Linked DNA regions of Ovis aries. The protein of the gene in region 3 purifies or fractionates together with the protein of the main gene of each other region. This does not show direct contact. Links are inferred from orthologs where the notes say so. Each region holds a gene or a part of one and is shown on either strand. Other genes may lie near its edges. The genes, in order: histone H2AX, KPNA6, LMNA and HNRNPM.

Region 1 (4,142 bases), on a different chromosome or scaffold from region 3:
CTTTCCCAGCTGTACCTGACTGGAGGAGTCTGGAGTCTGAATGGCGCAGAGACCATGCAAGACACCATGCAAACCACCATCCATGTCCCTGTCCAGGTGCCAAGGCTGCAGGGGGGAGGAAACACATCTTTGTTACCTCCCCTCTCCTTCTCACTAAATCCAACCCTTCTTCCTTTGCCCAGCATGAAGATGGCCCTGAAGATGATCCACAGCTGGTGGGCATCACTGCCCGGAACATTCCACGACAACCCCAGCTGGCTGCTGAGAACCTGGGCATCAGCCTGGCCACGTTGTTGCTGAACAAAGGAGCCAAGAATATCTTGGATGTTGCACGGCAGCTCAATGAAGCCCACTAATTGGTCTGTGGGGCACAGGTGCCTGCCTTGCTGGTGTCCAGTGCCTACATCCCAGCCCTCTGCTACCTGAGGAGTGGCTACCCCCACAGGATTGAACTGCAGGGGCAGAGACTTCCAGAGACTTGTCTCACCGAGGGGCCTTGCCTCCCCAGGAGGCAAGGAGGGGGCTTCCTCTCTAGAGAAAAAAAAAATCTTAATAAGAAGCCACAGCCTTTGAATGTAACCAGTTCTACTAATAAACCAAATTTAAAGGTGGTTTTTGTTTTTGGTGGAGCTGCAGAAAAGGAAGGACAAACTCAAAACTCTTTATTTATGCCTGATCTCTGAGGCTAGGACCCTTTCAAAGTTCTCCTGAAAAACGCCTTCTGTCAGTAGTTCCCATTTTTTGACAGAATCGAGTGTCTCCCAGGGAACGCCAAGAAAGCCATCATCTTAATAATCTACAATTTGTCGCTCCAGTTAACAGTAAAGCCTTATATCGGTTCCCCTCCCCCACTACCTTTAGGTATCTACAGAGTCGACTCTACAACCCTTTTGCAAAATGAACACAACTCACTTTTCTTTAGGAAAAAACCCTTTAATAAAATTAGTCCATCTGAAACTCCCCCCAATACCTAAAGTACTAGTTTTGGATGGGTTAGCTGCAAAATTCCAGTTCCGAAGCCAAAGGCGGCTCAGTCCAGACGGGGATTAACGGACTTGTGCTGGTATCTAGGTGCTTGGCAGGCGGAATGGACCCGACGGGAAGGGAGTGGGGAGGAGGGGCGGGCCCGGAGGCAGGGCTCCCGCAGACCCCACGCCGCCAGGACCCGCTAGTATTGGAGACGGTCACGCCGCGAAGGGTTTCTTCCAGTACGCGCACAGGCCTGCGAATGAAGATGGAGGGAACGCGGACGTGCGAGGCCCGAGATCCGGCAACAAAAGGGGTCCTGGGACGAAATGAAGCAACCGATTGACTCCGCCGGCGGCGACAATCGAGTCCTGTACTAAGCACCGAGCTGAAGCAGAGCGCACGGCCTCGGCGGCGACCGTCCGCACCGACTCACCTTCCTCCCGCACTCCCCGGCCCGGCTTTCCGGAAGGTGCCGCGGCCTCCCCGCAGCCCATCGGCATTCTGGGGCCAAGCCGGCCGAGTCACGAGCTCGCTCCCGGGGCCGAGCGGCGTTCGAACGCACGCCCTCCGCCGGGCTTCGGCGGGAGCCAGCCGCGGGGGGGAGGGGCGGGCCGGGAAGGGGCGACAGCGCGGCCGCCAGGCCGGGAGCCCGAAGTGGCCCAGCTCTTTCTGTGAGTGCTGTGGTGGCCCTTAAAAGGGCCTTTGTGGTGTAGAGGGGAGGGCTGGGCGGTGGCGGCACGGGCGCCCTCAGTACTCCTGAGAGGCCTGGGTGGCCTTCTTGCCGCCCGCTGGCGCCTTCGGCCCCACGGTGGCGCTGGTCTTCTTAGGCAGCAGCACGGCCTGGATGTTGGGCAGGACGCCTCCCTGGGCGATCGTCACGCCGCCCAGCAGCTTGTTGAGCTCCTCGTCGTTGCGGATGGCCAGCTGCAGGTGGCGGGGGATTATCCGCGTCTTCTTGTTGTCGCGAGCCGCGTTGCCCGCCAGCTCCAGGATCTCGGCGGTGAGGTACTCGAGTACCGCCGCCAGGTAGACCGGCGCGCCGGCGCCCACCCTCTCGGCGTAGTGGCCCTTCCGCAGCAGCCGGTGCACGCGGCCCACGGGAAACTGGAGGCCTGCTCGCGAAGAGCGCGACTTGGCCTTGGCGCGGGCCTTGCCGCCGGTCTTGCCGCGGCCAGACATGCTGTATGAGGTAGAGGAGCGGTGAGGACGGCTAACAAAACACAGGAACAACCACCCGCCGCAGTCTAACGCTTCCGCGCGCGACCACGGGCTGCCCTTATAAGCCCCTCAGGGCACACCCCCGCGCCTTTCTGATTGGCTCTTTTCTCGAATACCCGCCTCTGGTTGGCTGAGGTTAACTCTTCGGTGACGCGCCCCAGTTGAGGGAACGCGTCCGCCGATTGGCCGAATTTGAAAACCCTTTGCCCGGGGAACACGGGAGGAGGCGCAGAGACTACCCGACAGCCAGCCAGTCTCGGCTGTAGCCAATCCAAGTGAAGCGCGCCAGATTTAAACGCTATAGCCCGAGACCAGAACCGGAAGACAAGAAGGGTAGAATCGGAAGCCACCTCAAGAGCGTCTGGGAAGTCTGCGCAAGGCAGGCCTAAGATTTTTAAAGGAAAAGAGTCAACACCACAACTACCTCTGCCTCCCGTCCTAGGTCTGGTCACTCCCTCCTCCTACCTGGCAAAAGAAGAGTGAAAAAGGGAAGGAATGAGACCCCCACTTAAAGTCCAACCCTACCCCAGAGAACAGATAACCCCAATCTTATGGCCCTTTATGCCACCCAAGCAGCAGATTTCACATTTATTCAACATGTTCTGTCTGGTCTGTTCTTTCTGATCACTTCTTGCTAGGAGGCGCCTGATGTGCTTAAAAAAAAAGAAAGAAAGAAAAAAGGATGGGACAGAGATAGGCATCCTCTCCGAGGAAATACCTCCTTCAACCTTCCCCATCCACCCTACAATGCCCACATAGGAAATATACCTATAGGAACAAGAAGAAAAAGACAATACTTTATTGTCACCACTGGGAGCACCTGGCCCCCGGTCTGCTCTTAATCATCAGAATACTTAATTTATAGTCAAATGTCAAGTCACCTTTGAACCTGTGTCTCTATCCCCAGCCAGGGTTCTGTCCCCAAGTCCAGCATTCTCCTTGAGTGTCAGAGTTGTGGGCAATTGCATAAAAGCTACAGTACCCCAACTTAGGAGGCAGCAAAGATGGGATGGAGAGGGAGAGTGGCAAGCTGAAGAAAGCCATAGGCAAAGTCCAATCACCAGTCATTAGAGAGTGAGACAGGCCCACGTGTCAATAATCACAGGGGAAAGGAAATGCTGAGAACAAAATCTGGAGGAAAATGAAGGGTGGGAGAGGCCTGGGCTAGTTGGCAGTCTTGGTCCAGGAGATGTTGGCCTGAGTCAGTAACCCCGGAGGCTGTGAAGCAAAGGGCAATGGATCGGGGCCTCAGACATCATAGAAGAGTCGGACAAGCTGGTACCGAATGGAGAAGGTGACAGCACTACCAACGACCTGCAAGGAGAAACGAACTATAGTAAGAACCCTGGAGAGAGGGAGACAAGGAAGTGTAAACCACACCCCCAATAGCATTGCACCTGTAGCAGCAGCAGGAAGAGGGTGAGGTTTCTCTCATGCATGGGCCCAAAGACTTTAAGTAGCAAGTTGATGAGGGTCATGTTGTTACATTCAGTGAAGGCACCATCCTCATTCTCACTGTGGCGCACCGTCAGTAGCCCAAGGTTCTCTGCTACCTGGAGAGGCCAAAGGTGGAGAGAACTTTTGCTAATACTTATGCTTCAGGAATGGGATCTGCTGAATGCTTGCAAACTCCCCTCAGGTCTGATGTAGGCCTAGGTTTTCCCATTCCCTGAATTCAGAATGGCAGCCTAGAGCCTTACCTCCTTGTTACCCTGTTACCTTTAGAATAAAGGTGCCCAAGAAAGAGAGGCTCTTGGTCTTGAACTTGGAATAGCTCATCTCCAGTTTGCCTGTCTTGGTATTGAGTCTGCAGGGGAAGAGAGCTTCATGTGACTGGGCCACTACACAAAGAACTCTCCTCACTGTGGTTAACTCATAGAAAGAGCACTGAATATAGAGTCAAACACCCTGCGATCTATTTCTGGTTCTGCTGCATACTTCTGTGTGATCAGTGC
Region 2 (4,629 bases), on a different chromosome or scaffold from region 3:
GCTCCTTATCCTATTATCAATTCTGGAGCTTTATTTTTGCATCTGTACCATAACCTACTTACTGGGTACAGCCCATCAGAAAGAGAACTGATCTATTGCTCCTCAGAAGAAATGGAACTTGTGGGATAAAACTTTGCATTCAATGCTGACCATACACCCTCACATACATATACTACTTCAGAGGTTCTGAACTAGAACTTATGGTTCTGAACTCTGCTTATGGCAGACATTAGTTTGGGGAGAGGGCACATACCATAGGCTTCCTCGATGAGGCCACAGTAGGGATTGACCCCTGAGCCACTGCGCTTGCCCTCTTGCTCTCCAAGCCGAAGGATGTTCTCCAGTCCATTGAGGGCCACTTGCACAATCTTTGAATCCATCACAGTCAGCAAGTCGCACAGGGGTTTGATGCAGCCCAGGGAGACCAGGTACCTGAAGGGCAGAGACCAGGAAAGTTCTAAATCAAGACAAGATAAGGGAGGTGCCAGGGCGGTGCTCTGGGGTCCCTGGGTCTCCTTTACACACATCAATGCTCTTAGCAATTCACCCTGCCTGAGCCCTCATAAACACCCAGGCTTTATCTCAGTCTCCACTCCATCGATACTACTGGTTTAGTTCATTTCCATGTAGAAGGCTGCCACGGATTTCTCCTCCTGGTCTGTAATGTGTCCCTGCAACAGTACTACCTACTCTGAAACATCATTCCCCTGCTTAAAATTTTCACAGTCCAAGCTCTACTCTCAATACAATCAGGCTCCTAAGCTTTTTCAGCTTCATCTCACATTATTCCCTTCCAAGAATATTACATTCCAGCCAAACGTGAATGTCTCTAGGTTTCTGATTTTTGTACTTTTACTTATGCCTTTTCCTGTCCAAATGCCATTCACAACCCTATATCCTCAAAAGCTTAACTCAGTGGCTATCCTTTTCTCCTAAGGTTTTATAATATGCTGAATATACTCCCTGGAAGAAAAGTTATGACCAACCTAGACAGCATATTGAAAAGCAGAGACATTACTTTGCTGACTAAGGTCCGTCTAGTCAAGGCTATGGTTTTCCAGTGGTCATGTATGGATGTGGGAGTTGGAGTGTGAAGAAAGCTGAGTGCTGAAGAATTGATGCTTTTGAACTGTGGTGTTGGAGAAGACTCTTGAGAGTCCCTTGGACTGCAAGGAGATCCAACCAGTCCATTCTAAAAGAGATCAGCCCTGGGTGTTCTTTTGGAAGGAATGATGCTGAAGCTGAAACTCCAGTACTTTGGCCACCTCATGCAAAGAGTTGACTCACTGGAAAAGACTCTGATGCTGGGAGGGATTGGGAGCAGGAGGAAAAGGGGACGACCGAGGATGGCATCACCGACTTGATGGATGTAAGTTTGAGTGAACTCCGGGAGTTGGTGATGGACAGGGAGGCCTGGCGTGCTGCAATTCATGAGGTCGCAAAGAGTCGGACACGACTGAGCGACTGAACTGAATATACTCCCCCTTCCTAAGCTACAAGCTGAAGGCAAGGTACTTTTCTAATTCCCACCACTCCAACTCAAGTTCATAATGGAAAGCAGAATCAGAGAACATCTTCACACAAAACAGCTTTCCTATTTACTTCTCTCAAGTATCATTGTCAAAAATGATTTCTCAAGGAAACTGCTCCGAATGAGCCATCGAATGGTTCTCTTTCATTTGTATGAGTAATTGTGAATTATATAGATTTAAATTCTCTTGTGGGTAGAAAGAGGCAGAGGAGAGATGAATGTCTGTCTTAAGTGTCCATTCTCAAGGAGGGAAAAGAGGCTACACTCTAGCAGCTTATCAGTTAAACCCTACTGAACAGCAGTAGACTTATCCCAGCAAAGGCAGTTTAGAGACTGTATGTAACATAAGCTGACAGGTAGAGTAAACATGTCACTCAAACAATGGGAAGGACTGTGGTACCTGATTTGTTCAGGGGTTCCTCCTGATGTGGCATTGGTGATGGCCCAGGCTGCTTCTTTCCTTGTACGGAACTCTGCTTTCTGAAGGATTTCGATCAATACAGGGAAGATGTTTGCATCTATGACAGCCTGAGAATAATTAGGGGTTCGGGGGTGGGATATGGGGGAAAAAAGTCATTTCAAGGAGAATAAGCAAATCCAGAACACAAATCAGCTAAGATTTAGACACATTCCCCTTCCTCAAAGTTCTCCTTTGTCGTTCCCATATACCTAAGGTGGTGCAGAAGAACCTGGCTTCTGCTCCACAGAGTCTTTGACCAATAGCAGACACTGATCCCAATTTCAAAAGAGAAATTTTTTTGTCTAGAAGGCAATATCCCACAAAGTCTCGTGATCCCAGGCCTTTCTACCACCGTTCCTCAATCTCCCAACTGCTTGTTTTACCTGTATCTGAGCCCTGTTGCCAGCAGTGATATTTGAAATGGTCCAACAAGCTTCCTTTCGGATTGACTCCTTGGAGCTGCTCAGGAGGTGGAGGAGGCAAGGGAGGGCTGAACAGTTAAGAATGACCTAGAACACCAAAAGACAAATTGAGATAAATTGGACTTAATCAAAATTTAAAACTTTTGTGTACCGAAAGACATCTTTCAACAGAGTGAATTACACAAGTCACAGAATGGGAGAAAGTATATTGAAATTATATATCTGATAAAGATGAATATCCAGATTACATTAAAAAAAAAAAAGCTGAACATAGTTTAAAATGGGCAAAGGACATAAACAGACATTTTTCCAAAGAAAACAGGCAGGGGGCCCCAAAGCACATGAAAGATGTCAGACATCATTAATCAGTAGGGAAATGCAAATCAAAACCTCAGTGAGATACAGCTTCACACTTCATAGGACAGTTATTCTGTTTTCCTGGCCGTGCTGGGTCTTCACTGCAGCATGCAGGCTTAGTTGCCCCACAGCATGTGGGATCTTAGTTCCCCAAATAGGGACTGAACCCGAGTCGCCTGCATTAGAAGGCGGGTTCTTAACCCCCAGATCCCAGGGGATTATATATATATATAATATATAAAATTTATTATAATACTTATAACATTTAAAATTTATTATAAAAATAAAATTATTTTTATTCTTAAAAAATCCAGGCAATACAATTGTTGGTAAAGATGTGGAGAAACTGGAACCTGGTACATTGCTGGTGGGAAGGTAAAATGGTATAGCCATTGTGCTAAACAGTATGGTGGTTCCCCAAAATCTTTAAATATAAAATTACTCCATGACCCAGTAATTCCACCTCTGGGTGTATATCCCAAAGAGCTGAAAACAAGGACTCAAACAGAGATTTGTATGCCAATATTCAATGCAACATTACTCACACTAGCCAAAAGGTGAAAGCAACCCAAATGTTGATCAACAGATGCATGAATAAACCAAATGTGGCACAGGTGTGCCAAGGAAGATCATTGAGCCACCGAAAGGAATGAAGGTATGACTTACTAAAACATGGGATGAGCTTCGAAAACATGCTAAGTGAACTAAGTTGAAACAAAAGAACAAATATATATGGTTTGGTTTACGTGAGGTTTCTAGAGGAGTCAAACTCGCAAGAAACAGAAAGTAATGTGGTAGTTACCAGGGGATGAGGGGAGGGGGAAACGGGAATTTATTATTTGAAGAGCACAGAGTTTCAGTTCTGAACGACGCAAAAGTTGTGGAGATGGATGATTGTGATGGTTAAATAACAATGTGAATGCGCTTAATGCCATTGAACTATACTTAAAAGAATAACCAGCTCTCCAGCCTGTGTATAGAAAAACCTTGCATACTGCACCCTCTATGGAGGTATTACTAACAGAGGACTAACATGAGGTTACCCATGGGATCCTAAAGGTTTAGTTACAAAGTAGGGGTGAGGCTCCAAAGATTTAAGTATTTCAAAGGTACCATAACAGAAAAGCTGGGACTTTACCATGTCCCAGGTAGTAAGTCAAGTTATTCCATTTAGTTTTTCTTCAGTAGCACCCAATGGATAATGATTTGCTTCCAATTTATAGAAAAAATAAAGGCAACCAAGTTGCCCACAAATCATACAGAAAGTGGCAGAGTTGGAATTTTTCCTTCAAGCCTGTGCTTTCTCTCCTAGATCACACTGCCCCCCACCAGGACTAAAGTCTACGGCAGGGAGGGATTTGTCCACAGACAGCTCTCTTCCTCCTCCTTACCTGGGTCTGGATGTCATCCCCAGTGACGATGTTACCCACAGCTCTCAGAGCAGGAGAAGCCACTTTGTTATCGTTGTGCCTATAGAGGAGGGCGATCTGGTCAGTAGAGGGCCAGCACCAAGCTTTCAGCTCTGCTGACCACCAAGGCCGGTAGCACTCATGGGTCCAGACCTTTGCACAGGGCAGCAGACTGCTAACTGCAGTTCTGAGCTTGGAATCTGTACCCTTTCTAACTGGGATCACTCACATGAGAAGCTCGACCAATCTCCGGCAGACTCCAGAGTCTATGACTGCCTGGATCTTCTCATTGGGGCCATCAGATAGATAAGAGAGGGCCCAGCAAGCATCTGCCAGCAAGTCTGAGTCGCTGCTGAAGAGTAGGCGAGACAGCACGGGCAAACAGGGGGAGACCTATTGGAAGCAGAGAGAGAGGGATTCATAGAGGGACAGGGTTACATCAGCTCTACC
Region 3 (3,985 bases):
GCCTCTCACTGGACAAGGCTTCCCCCGCAGCCAGAGTCGGAGGCAGCTGCCCCCAGGCCAATTCAGGGCCGCTTTCTCCCAGGGCCCAAACTCTCCACCCAGAGATAGCTCCCCTTGCAGCAGGAGGGGTGGGGGTTAGACAGTGAGCATGGTTAAGGGCAGATCATGCTCCTATCCAGAGACCTGGACAGCACGTCCCTGGAGTAGAAACAAGTGTCTTACCTCCAGCGCCCCGGAGGACAGAGCAAGTGGCAGCCTGGACGGGGGGCAGAGCGCGAGCAGGCTCCTGGAGGTCACTGGGGTGGGTATGCTGCACACCCTTTCTCCGACCTGCAGCCCCTAACCCTCAGCCTTGTCCTGTGTCCGCGGCAGGAGGTGGCCATGCGCAAGCTGGTGCGCTCAGTGACCGTGGTCGAGGACGACGACGATGAGGATGGAGACGATCTGCTCCATCACCACCACGTGAGTGGCAGCCGCCGCTGAGGCCCAGCCCACGCCAGGGCACCCAGCCCGGCCTGGGGACACCCTCTCCCTGGCCTCCCCCTGCCAAAAAATCTTTTCATTAAAGAACATTTTGGAACTTCACTCGCTGCCCTGGCTTTTCTTCTCTCTCCTCCCTATACCTTGAACAGGGAACCCAGGTGTCTGGGTGCCCTACTCTGGTAAGGAAGGGAGCGGGAACTTCTGATGCCACGGAGTCTTCCCATGGGAGCGGTGGACAAGAGTCCGGATTTATCCCCCGGGCGGGGAAGGGAGGACAGACGCGGGGCACGCAGCCCTGCCTCTCTCCGCCCACACTTCTCTCGCTTGCATCTCCTTTCTTGTCTCCTCCTCATCCTGGTCACGTGCATGGCCTCTCGTTTTCCCCATTTTTCCTGGGAGAAGGGTCTCTTGCACCTACCCTCCTCCCAATTAATTTTGCATGCCTGCCGCTCTACAAGCTTGCTGACTCTCTCTCCTTTCCCTCTGAAGCTTAGAGTAGCTAAGACAAGAGTCAAAGCCTGGCTCCCGTCCCCTGCCTGTCCCCAAGTCTTCCTGACCCTTCCTCCTGTCATGTCCTTCCCTTCCCCTCTTCCCAGCCCAGGCTCCCCACCCCAAGCCCTATACCACCCACCAGTTAGGTTACTTAGGCGCAGAAGCCCACCTTTCTGCCTGGACCCTGCCGGAGCGCGGAGCCTGGGTGTTGGGCCTGAGCGGTCAGTCCCAGACTCGCCGTCCGGCCTGAGCCTTGTCTCCCTCCTCAGGGCTCCCACGCAGGCAGCAGCTCGGGGGACCCCGCCGAGTACAACCTGCGCTCGCGCACCGTGCTGTGCGGGACTTGCGGGCAGCCCGCAGACAAGGCGCCTGCCAGCGGCTCGGGAGCCCAGGTGGGCGGATCCATCTCCTCTGGCTCCTCCGCCTCCAGTGTTACAGTCACTCGCAGCTACCGAAGTGTGGGGGGCAGTGGGGGTGGCAGCTTCGGGGACAGCCTGGTCACCCGCTCCTACCTCCTGGGCAACTCCAGACCCCGAACCCAGGTGAGTCGGCCCTCTGTCTCCAACCCCCGGCGGGCAGAGGACCCTAGTCCTCCAGGGTTAGGGCCAGGCTGCCCTGTGGGAGGGAGAGCCTTCTCTTCCGCAGCCCGGGGGAGTGGGAGCCTCCTCCCCGCAGCCCAAGATCCTAGAGAGCGGCTGCTGCTCCTGCGTCCTGCCCCTCCTGTCTGAGCCCCAGATTGGAGGGCAGGGGCGGGGCTGGGTTAAGAGGGGAAGGGAGGGTTGGCCAAGCACTGCCACTCACGCCGCTTCCCTCTCTCCTCTCTTTTAGAGCCCCCAGAACTGCAGCATCATGTAACCTGGGACCTGCCAGGCAGGGGTGGGGGCGGAGGCCCATGCTTCTTCCTCACCTCATGCCCACCCCTGCCCTGCGCCTCACGGGAAGGGGTTCGAAGCCAAAGAAAAATACCCCTTTATTTTTTCTTCTATGTTTTGTTTTTTGTTTTTCTAAGAGAAGTTATTTTCTACAGTGGTTTTATACCGAAGGAAAAACATAAGCCAAAAAACCCCGCGCGCATCTCTCTCAATTCCCCCCCTTTTCTCCCTGCTTCCGAGAAACTCCGTATCTGCCTTAAAACCAAAGAGGGAGCCGAGGAGAGGGGATGCTTTTACAAAGCCTCGTTTCTGCTTTTCTGCCCTGCCCGCCACCCCCATCCCGGGGACCCCGTGACATGGTGCCTGAGAGGCAGGTGTGGAGTCTGCTCTGCCAGCCTCCAAGGGAGGAGGGCTGAGCCTCGCCCCTGGGCCAGCCCCCATCGTTCCACTACCCCCCGCAGAGGCTCCTCCGCCTGCCCGCCCCCGCCCCCCCTCTCCCCAGCCCCGGGGTGACTCGATTCTCCCAGGTCCCAGCTGCGTTTGCTTCTTCTGTATGTTATTTAGACAAGAGATGGGAATGAGGCGGGAGGTAGAAAGGTAGAATAAGGTTAGTCTGAGCCTGCCTTCACCTAGCTTTAGAGCCAGGGGTGGGCTCTGCCCAGTCACTGGAGGTCGATCAAGGTCACGTGGGTGTAGGGGAGGAGGGAGAGGGAGGCCTACTAGGAAAGGGGAGAGCCTGCTGGGGCCCCACCGAAGGGGAGGAAGGGGAGGAGGTGTGGAGGGCTTGCGGCAGTGGGTTTCGGCAAACACTAAGGAGCCCCTTGCCTCCCGTTTCCCATCTGCACCACTTCTCCCTGAATCAATACACTAGTTGTTTCTATCCCTGGCTGCCGTGGTGTCTTTGTTGGTGGGTGTCCTTGTGTGTTTTCTGAGGGTCCCATACACATGTCACTCGGTCACCTGCATCGTCACGCCGCCCAGCCTCCCCCTTGCTCTAGGGAGACAAAGACCGCAGAGCTTCAGGTGCACAGCTGGGCACCCAGCAGTGGCTGCTGGGGAGACGCTCTGACATGAGCATTGCCCACCCAGTGCAGGGCTGTCTCCATGAGTCCCGCAGAGAGGCAGAGCCTGAGGGCAAGCATTTCCTTCCTGACTTCCTTCAGCCAGCACTTAGCGAGAAGCTTCTTTGTGCTAGACCCTGAGCTCAGCATGAATACCAAGACACATGATGATACAGACCCAGTCTGAGGACGGGTGACTGTCTCAGGACCCGGGGCAAGGGCAGATGGGGAGGAGGGAGTTAGCAGGAAAGGGGCAGGACTGACTTTGCAAGCACGCAGTTAATGTCCGTCTGCGCAAGACTGTGCTCACCTCGGAGACAGGGAGATGGACAAGACCGTGTACTCAGTGTTCTCAGGGATCTTACACTCCAGTGGACTGCTGGGGACAAAGGTATAGGTCAGGTGGAGTCGGAGCCTCAGGGGGAGGCCTCTAATGTAGGGGAATGGGGAAACCAGACTGAGGGAAAGGACCTCAAGCAGGGAAAATGAGCTACAGGGACCAACCCTTCTCTGGCCCTTTATAGGTTCCAAAGCATCTCTGTGCTATTTCATTTGACCCTCTGCTGTCTTGACAGGTGGTTATTGTCCCCTTTGTCCCTGGAAATGGGGGCTCAGAGTTAACAAGACCACACAGTTACTAGATGGCAGAGAGAACCCAGGGTCCTGGCTGCAGACCCCTGCTTCTGTGACATTATGCTCCCTTCTGGGAAAACAAAACAAAACAGTGATGGTAAAATATAAGTTTGCGTTCCCTGTGGCAGATGAGTTGAGCCTGCAGTCAAAAGTTGTGAGAAAAAGAGCATGCCTGGGGCTGTGGGAAAAAGAATTGGAGAAAGCAAAATGAATGAGATCAGAAAAACCTCAAGTCCTGCTGGAAAGTCCTGGTTCCCTAGGGGCTCAAGCCAGGTGCCTCTGGGAAAGGGATGCGGAGAGGATAGGGCATGGACTTGAGGAAGCGGTCCTTTTCTGGGGAGGGTGGTTCTGAAGAAGGAAATCCTTTCTCAGTCCCAGGCAAGGACTCAGGGGTCCCAGGGAATATGGGACTTGGGCGTCAATGGAGTTCCCGTCTTTTCTAAA
Region 4 (4,629 bases), on a different chromosome or scaffold from region 3:
GCACTCCAGGGAAGACAAGTGCTGGAGGCCACAGGAATGCTTTAAAGTTTTTAAAGTTTTATTGGACAATTACTGGGAAGATCTGAAACAGAAAACCTCAAGAGTTTAGTAACTGAGAAAATGAACACTTGCCTACCACTAAATCTAGCTTCTGGAACACAAATTATTTAAGGCAACTCAAAGTTATCAGATTCAGCACAAAAGTGGGAGGGTGAAGTCACTTATCAAAAATCAGTCTGCTGCCTAAAGGTCACCTAGAGCCAACAGCCAGCAGAGGGTAGATAGGTACACAGATCTTACCATTTATTCTGCCCATGTTCATCCCAGATCCAAATCGACCCATGTTTTCCATACCACCACCAAAGGGTCCTTCCATGCCTGAAAGAGACATATTTGCATTTTAGCAGCAGCCTAACAAGACTCAAAAGTGAACAGGAATAGAAAATGTTTCCACAAGGTTACCTAGGGCATGTGCTGCCAGAAACTTACCAAGTCTCAAGGGCTTTTGGAGAAAAAAGGCTAGAGCCCTTACTTAAAAATCACTATCTTCAAAAGGCTGATCTGATCCAATCCAGTCAATGAACAGACAAGCAAAGAGAGACCCAGAGAGATGGAGTGACTTGCCCAAGGTCACAGAGCTAGTCAGTGAAAAAGCCAGAACCAAAAGCCAAGTGGCCCAATAGAAAGATCAATGGGTAAAAGTAATCTCTAGACTTAAACTGTTTGGAAACCCAAGTGAAAATTTCATGCAGGGCTTAAGAGAAAAGGAAAAGGGAAGAAAAGAGGGGAAACCATACCTAAAAGTAGTTAAATTCATATTTCATTTGAGTTGTCTTACCTCCCATTTTATTTATTCCAAATCCTATGCCTTCCATTCCCATTCCTTAAAAAGAAAAAGTCAATGCAAACTAAAATTATGTCAAAGCCGTAATGTTTGAACTTAAAAAGCACAAGAAATTCCAAACATCAAAAAATATCCCTGACTCCAAATATATTTTACTTGTCAAGGGGGGGGGGGGGGGAAATGGGGTAGGGGCTCTTCTATTTCAACTGACAAACTAGTACATTCCAAGGAAGCAACTTATGCCTTTAACTACATAATCATCATGTGACTCAAAATCTGATAGTGTTCACAGAGTTTCAATAAATGACCAAGTTAGACATGAAATGTTAAGTATTAGGAAGAGACTAGGGCACGTTCACTTTTTAGAAGCTTACTTCAGGGAACAGAAGTAGATTCAAAAATCTCCTTTAAAGGTAAAATTCTCTAAAAAAAGAGCAGTTCCTAAAAACACTGAGGCTTCCCTCTCCTCAACCCTAGACTTTCCTCTGAGGTGTCAGGTCAGGGGATGTGGTGTTCAGATCAGTAAAGGCACCTTAAACTCTTTCATCAGCCCCAGAGCCTAATCTGGGAGGGAGACAAAGGAAAAGCAGAACTGACCGTAGTAGGGTTAAGGGTATCCATCTTGCAATTCAAAGAACTGCAAGCAAAACCTAAGTCTGAGGCCATAAAAACGCAGTATATTTAAATTATATATGAATGCCTCACTGCACGAAAACACCAAAAAGTGAAGTTCAAAGTTCATTCTACATGTCAAAGCTTTATTCGTTAGCTATTGCTTTTCTTCTTAAACAGGCCTAGGAGAGCTATGTAGTCATGCGACGAGGCCCTCCGTATCTTTCTGCATCTGACAATGCCCCTGCCTCAAGAAGCCCTGTAAACACCAGGTGACAGCCCACAGGCCTCTGGGTGATAGACGGTGGCAGTGAGGTGGTCCCAAGATCAGGAATTTCTGTCACTAACTGATAGTGTGACCTTGAGCAAGACCATCTCTCTGGCTTGCCTCCTCTTATCCAAAGGCTTAACTGAGTATCTCAGCTCAGAAGTACTTGTGAGGATAAAATGCAAAGCACAAAAGCTTTAGAAAGAAGTAGTCACTTGGTAAAAATCCAAAATACTGCCTTAATCAAAACATTAGTTAGTCGCTCAGTCGTGTCTGACTTCTTGTGACCCTCCAGGCTCCTCTGTCCATGAAATTCTTTAGGCAAGAATACTGGAGTGGGTTGCCACTTTCTTCTCCAGGAATCTTCCCGACCCAGGGATCGAACCCATGTCTCCTGCACTGCAGGCGGATTCTTTACCATCAGAGTCACCAGGGAAGCCCAATTAAAATGAATCACAAATAAATAAGGAAGGAATTAATTTTGTCCCAATATGAGCCTCATTCCACTTGAACTACTCAATGTCCAATCATCCCAAAAATTATTATTAAGATAACTAACTTCCCCAGAAATCCCCAGTCAAGAGGCACACTGTACTTCTCACCTGCAGGTCCCAGGTTGCCCATTCCAATGCCTTTATTCAAATGGTTGGCATCAATAGGCTGCCCTCCTGGTCCTAACCCCATGCCAATACCACCAAGTCCATCTGAAAGGAAATGAGAAAGTCAGAGTATTGATTCTACTTCCATAGGAAGCCCTGACCCTAAAAGTTAAAAAGACCCTTTGTTTACTGTGTAGTAGCTGTCACACTTGCCCCACCACCCATCTGCTCCACCAAGTCCAGGGCCTAATCCATGATGCAACATTGACGCATTTGGGAGCTCTCCCTTTAAAGGCATAAGCTCTCCTAGAACAACAGGGACTGAATGTGTGATCTATATAAAACGAGCGCAACTAAAAATCAGTTCACATGAAAACTACAGAGAAGATCTGTGAACAACAACCCACACAGTGACAAGTTGTGAGCCCCTACTTGTTTCCCTGAATAGTGTAATGAGAAATGTTTAATCAGAAAAGGCAACTGGAGACCTCACAAAGCAAGCAGCACAAATACGCTCAACCCTCATCTCTCAACCTGGTGACCCAAAGGACTTTTCTCCGGAAAAACAATGTGATAAATCAGCCAATTAACACACTGGACTTGGGCTATTCTCTGACTCTGCTGCAGATGGTTTGAGTAATGAAGCTAGTGTATCCAAGGAACCCGAAAGCTTCCTAAGCCAAGAATCGTACCCTACCCACAGAATACAGGCTGATCTCAAAACAGCCAACAAGGCCTGAGAGTATACTTGCAATGCTCTGGGTGATCATGGTTGGAGGCTAAGACCAGGTGAGATTTTTAAAAATAGGAACAAAGTCCACTTAAAAAAAAAACACTGACAAAACAAAACAAAAAACAACAGTTCTCCAATTTTTAATCTGATAAAAACCATGTTCTGAAACTGCACGTAAACAGCAGCAAGAGCTCACCAAGGTTACTTACTCCCCAAAGCACTGAAGTCAACCCTGAGATTTTCTGGGGAAACCAAAAGCCACAGATAATGGGCTCCCTGGAGCCCAGGGTGCCAGTCTGGCTGCCAAGCAGCCCTCACCCCCTGATCTAGGCACAAAATCAACAAGAGCCAGCACCCTGTTCCTGGTAATTACCATAAGAGACCACACAGATTATGACAAGGAAATGGGGTCCATCTCTAAATGCTAACTTTCAACAGATAACCCATCTTATATTCGTGAAACATGGACTTCCCCTCAAAAATCTGTCTCTACTATGCTTCTGCAAACAAGAATTAGTAAGCTAGTCTAGGTTCCCATTCAATTCAACCTCTGATGGCTAAGCGTTAGGCATAAGCCACTGCTCTAGACAGGAGGCGGCCCTGGCCGGCCCTTCAGACACCTCGACCCCACAGCCTCACGTGAGGAAAAGTCCTCTCTCAAGAGACACCAACTAGTCTTGCCCTCTCCCTACCCTCAGTCTGCCTTCCACAGGTCAGCCCTGCATGCCCTGCTGACACACGGCCCCTCATGCTACCACAGTCCCTCCCCTCCACTGCTCCCGTGCTCAGGCTCCCTGCCCTTCTGTGGGCCTGCCCGGGAAGACTTCACTATTACCCGCTCTTCCTACCTATGCCTTCCCTGCCCCAGGATGGACTTTCACCTGGATGTCACAAATGACCCTATATAAAAATTCTGACTGTTATACTTCACACACCATAAACTTCACCCTTTCTCCAGGCCCTGGCAATCACAATCCACCTGTCTTATGAACTCGCCTGTTCTAGACATTTCCAATAGACAGAATCAAAGTTCATCCATACTGTAGCACGTTACCAGTACTTCTTTTTTACGGCTAACAGTCCACTGTCTAGATTTACCATGTTTTATTCACCCATTCATCAGCTGAAACCATGCAGCCATGAACATCTGTGTACAGGTTTCTGTGTGGGTATCAGGTTTCAGCTCTCTTGTAGTGTATACCTAAGAGTGGGACTGCTGGGCCATATGGTAATAACCAATCTCTTCTGAACCCAAGTGCAAGCTGGCTTTCATTTTTTTGCAGTTTGTTTTTTCCCAGCTACACCTTCTGTGTCCTGGGCAGCCTGCCTCACCGCAATGTAATCCTAACAACCCTTCCTACGTTGTCTCTCTGCTCATTTTTCACCCCAAAAAAATTTATAAGGAAAATAATCTTTTTGAATCTTTTGCTCAAGAACAGTCTAGATAACTGAAGACTGACATCCCAACTTCAAAGGTAATTGTAATTTTCTGGTTATAAAACATTAAATTCAAAATTGTAGCCATAAATAATTGAGACACTTACGGGGAAGTTGCTGTGGACGCTCAGGAGGG

The links.
Region 1: the proteins of LMNA (region 3) and histone H2AX purify together in Homo sapiens (affinity purification with mass spectrometry; 3 studies listed by BioGRID and IntAct, with this or other methods). This does not show direct contact. The link is inferred for Ovis aries from reciprocal best matches to the Homo sapiens genes LMNA and H2AX.
Region 2: the proteins of LMNA (region 3) and KPNA6 purify together in Homo sapiens (affinity purification with mass spectrometry; 4 studies listed by BioGRID and IntAct, with this or other methods). This does not show direct contact. The link is inferred for Ovis aries from reciprocal best matches to the Homo sapiens genes LMNA and KPNA6.
Region 4: the proteins of LMNA (region 3) and HNRNPM fractionate together in Homo sapiens (co-fractionation; 3 studies listed by BioGRID, with this or other methods). This does not show direct contact. The link is inferred for Ovis aries from reciprocal best matches to the Homo sapiens genes LMNA and HNRNPM.

Annotation. Positions count from the first base shown.
Region 1 is NC_056068.1:29,402,417-29,406,558, forward strand, and holds histone H2AX, read right to left. Parts: upstream 2,222-4,142; 5' UTR 2,149-2,221; coding exon 1,717-2,148; 3' UTR 913-1,716; downstream 1-912. Other genes in the region: HMBS (porphobilinogen deaminase), read left to right, coding at 10-300; DPAGT1 (UDP-N-acetylglucosamine--dolichyl-phosphate N-acetylglucosaminephosphotransferase), read right to left, coding at 3,436-3,501, 3,585-3,740, 3,907-3,994. UniProt on the Homo sapiens protein: Variant histone H2A which replaces conventional H2A in a subset of nucleosomes. Nucleosomes wrap and compact DNA into chromatin, limiting DNA accessibility to the cellular machineries which require DNA as a template.
Region 2 is NC_056055.1:235,357,088-235,361,716, forward strand, and holds part of KPNA6 (importin subunit alpha-7), read right to left. Parts: intron 4,573-4,629; coding exon 4,409-4,572; intron 4,241-4,408; coding exon 4,162-4,240; intron 2,501-4,161; coding exon 2,375-2,500; intron 2,060-2,374; coding exon 1,932-2,059; intron 433-1,931; coding exon 254-432; intron 1-253. UniProt on the Homo sapiens protein: Functions in nuclear protein import as an adapter protein for nuclear receptor KPNB1. Binds specifically and directly to substrates containing either a simple or bipartite NLS motif.
Region 3 is NC_056054.1:106,153,947-106,157,931, forward strand, and holds the end of LMNA (lamin), read left to right. Parts: intron 1-372; coding exon 373-462; intron 463-1,244; coding exon 1,245-1,517; intron 1,518-1,803; coding exon 1,804-1,830; 3' UTR 1,831-2,727; downstream 2,728-3,985.
Region 4 is NC_056058.1:14,825,557-14,830,185, reverse strand, and holds part of HNRNPM (heterogeneous nuclear ribonucleoprotein M), read right to left. Parts: coding exon 4,601-4,629; intron 2,429-4,600; coding exon 2,327-2,428; intron 884-2,326; coding exon 839-883; intron 379-838; coding exon 301-378; intron 1-300. UniProt on the Homo sapiens protein: Pre-mRNA binding protein in vivo, binds avidly to poly(G) and poly(U) RNA homopolymers in vitro. Involved in splicing.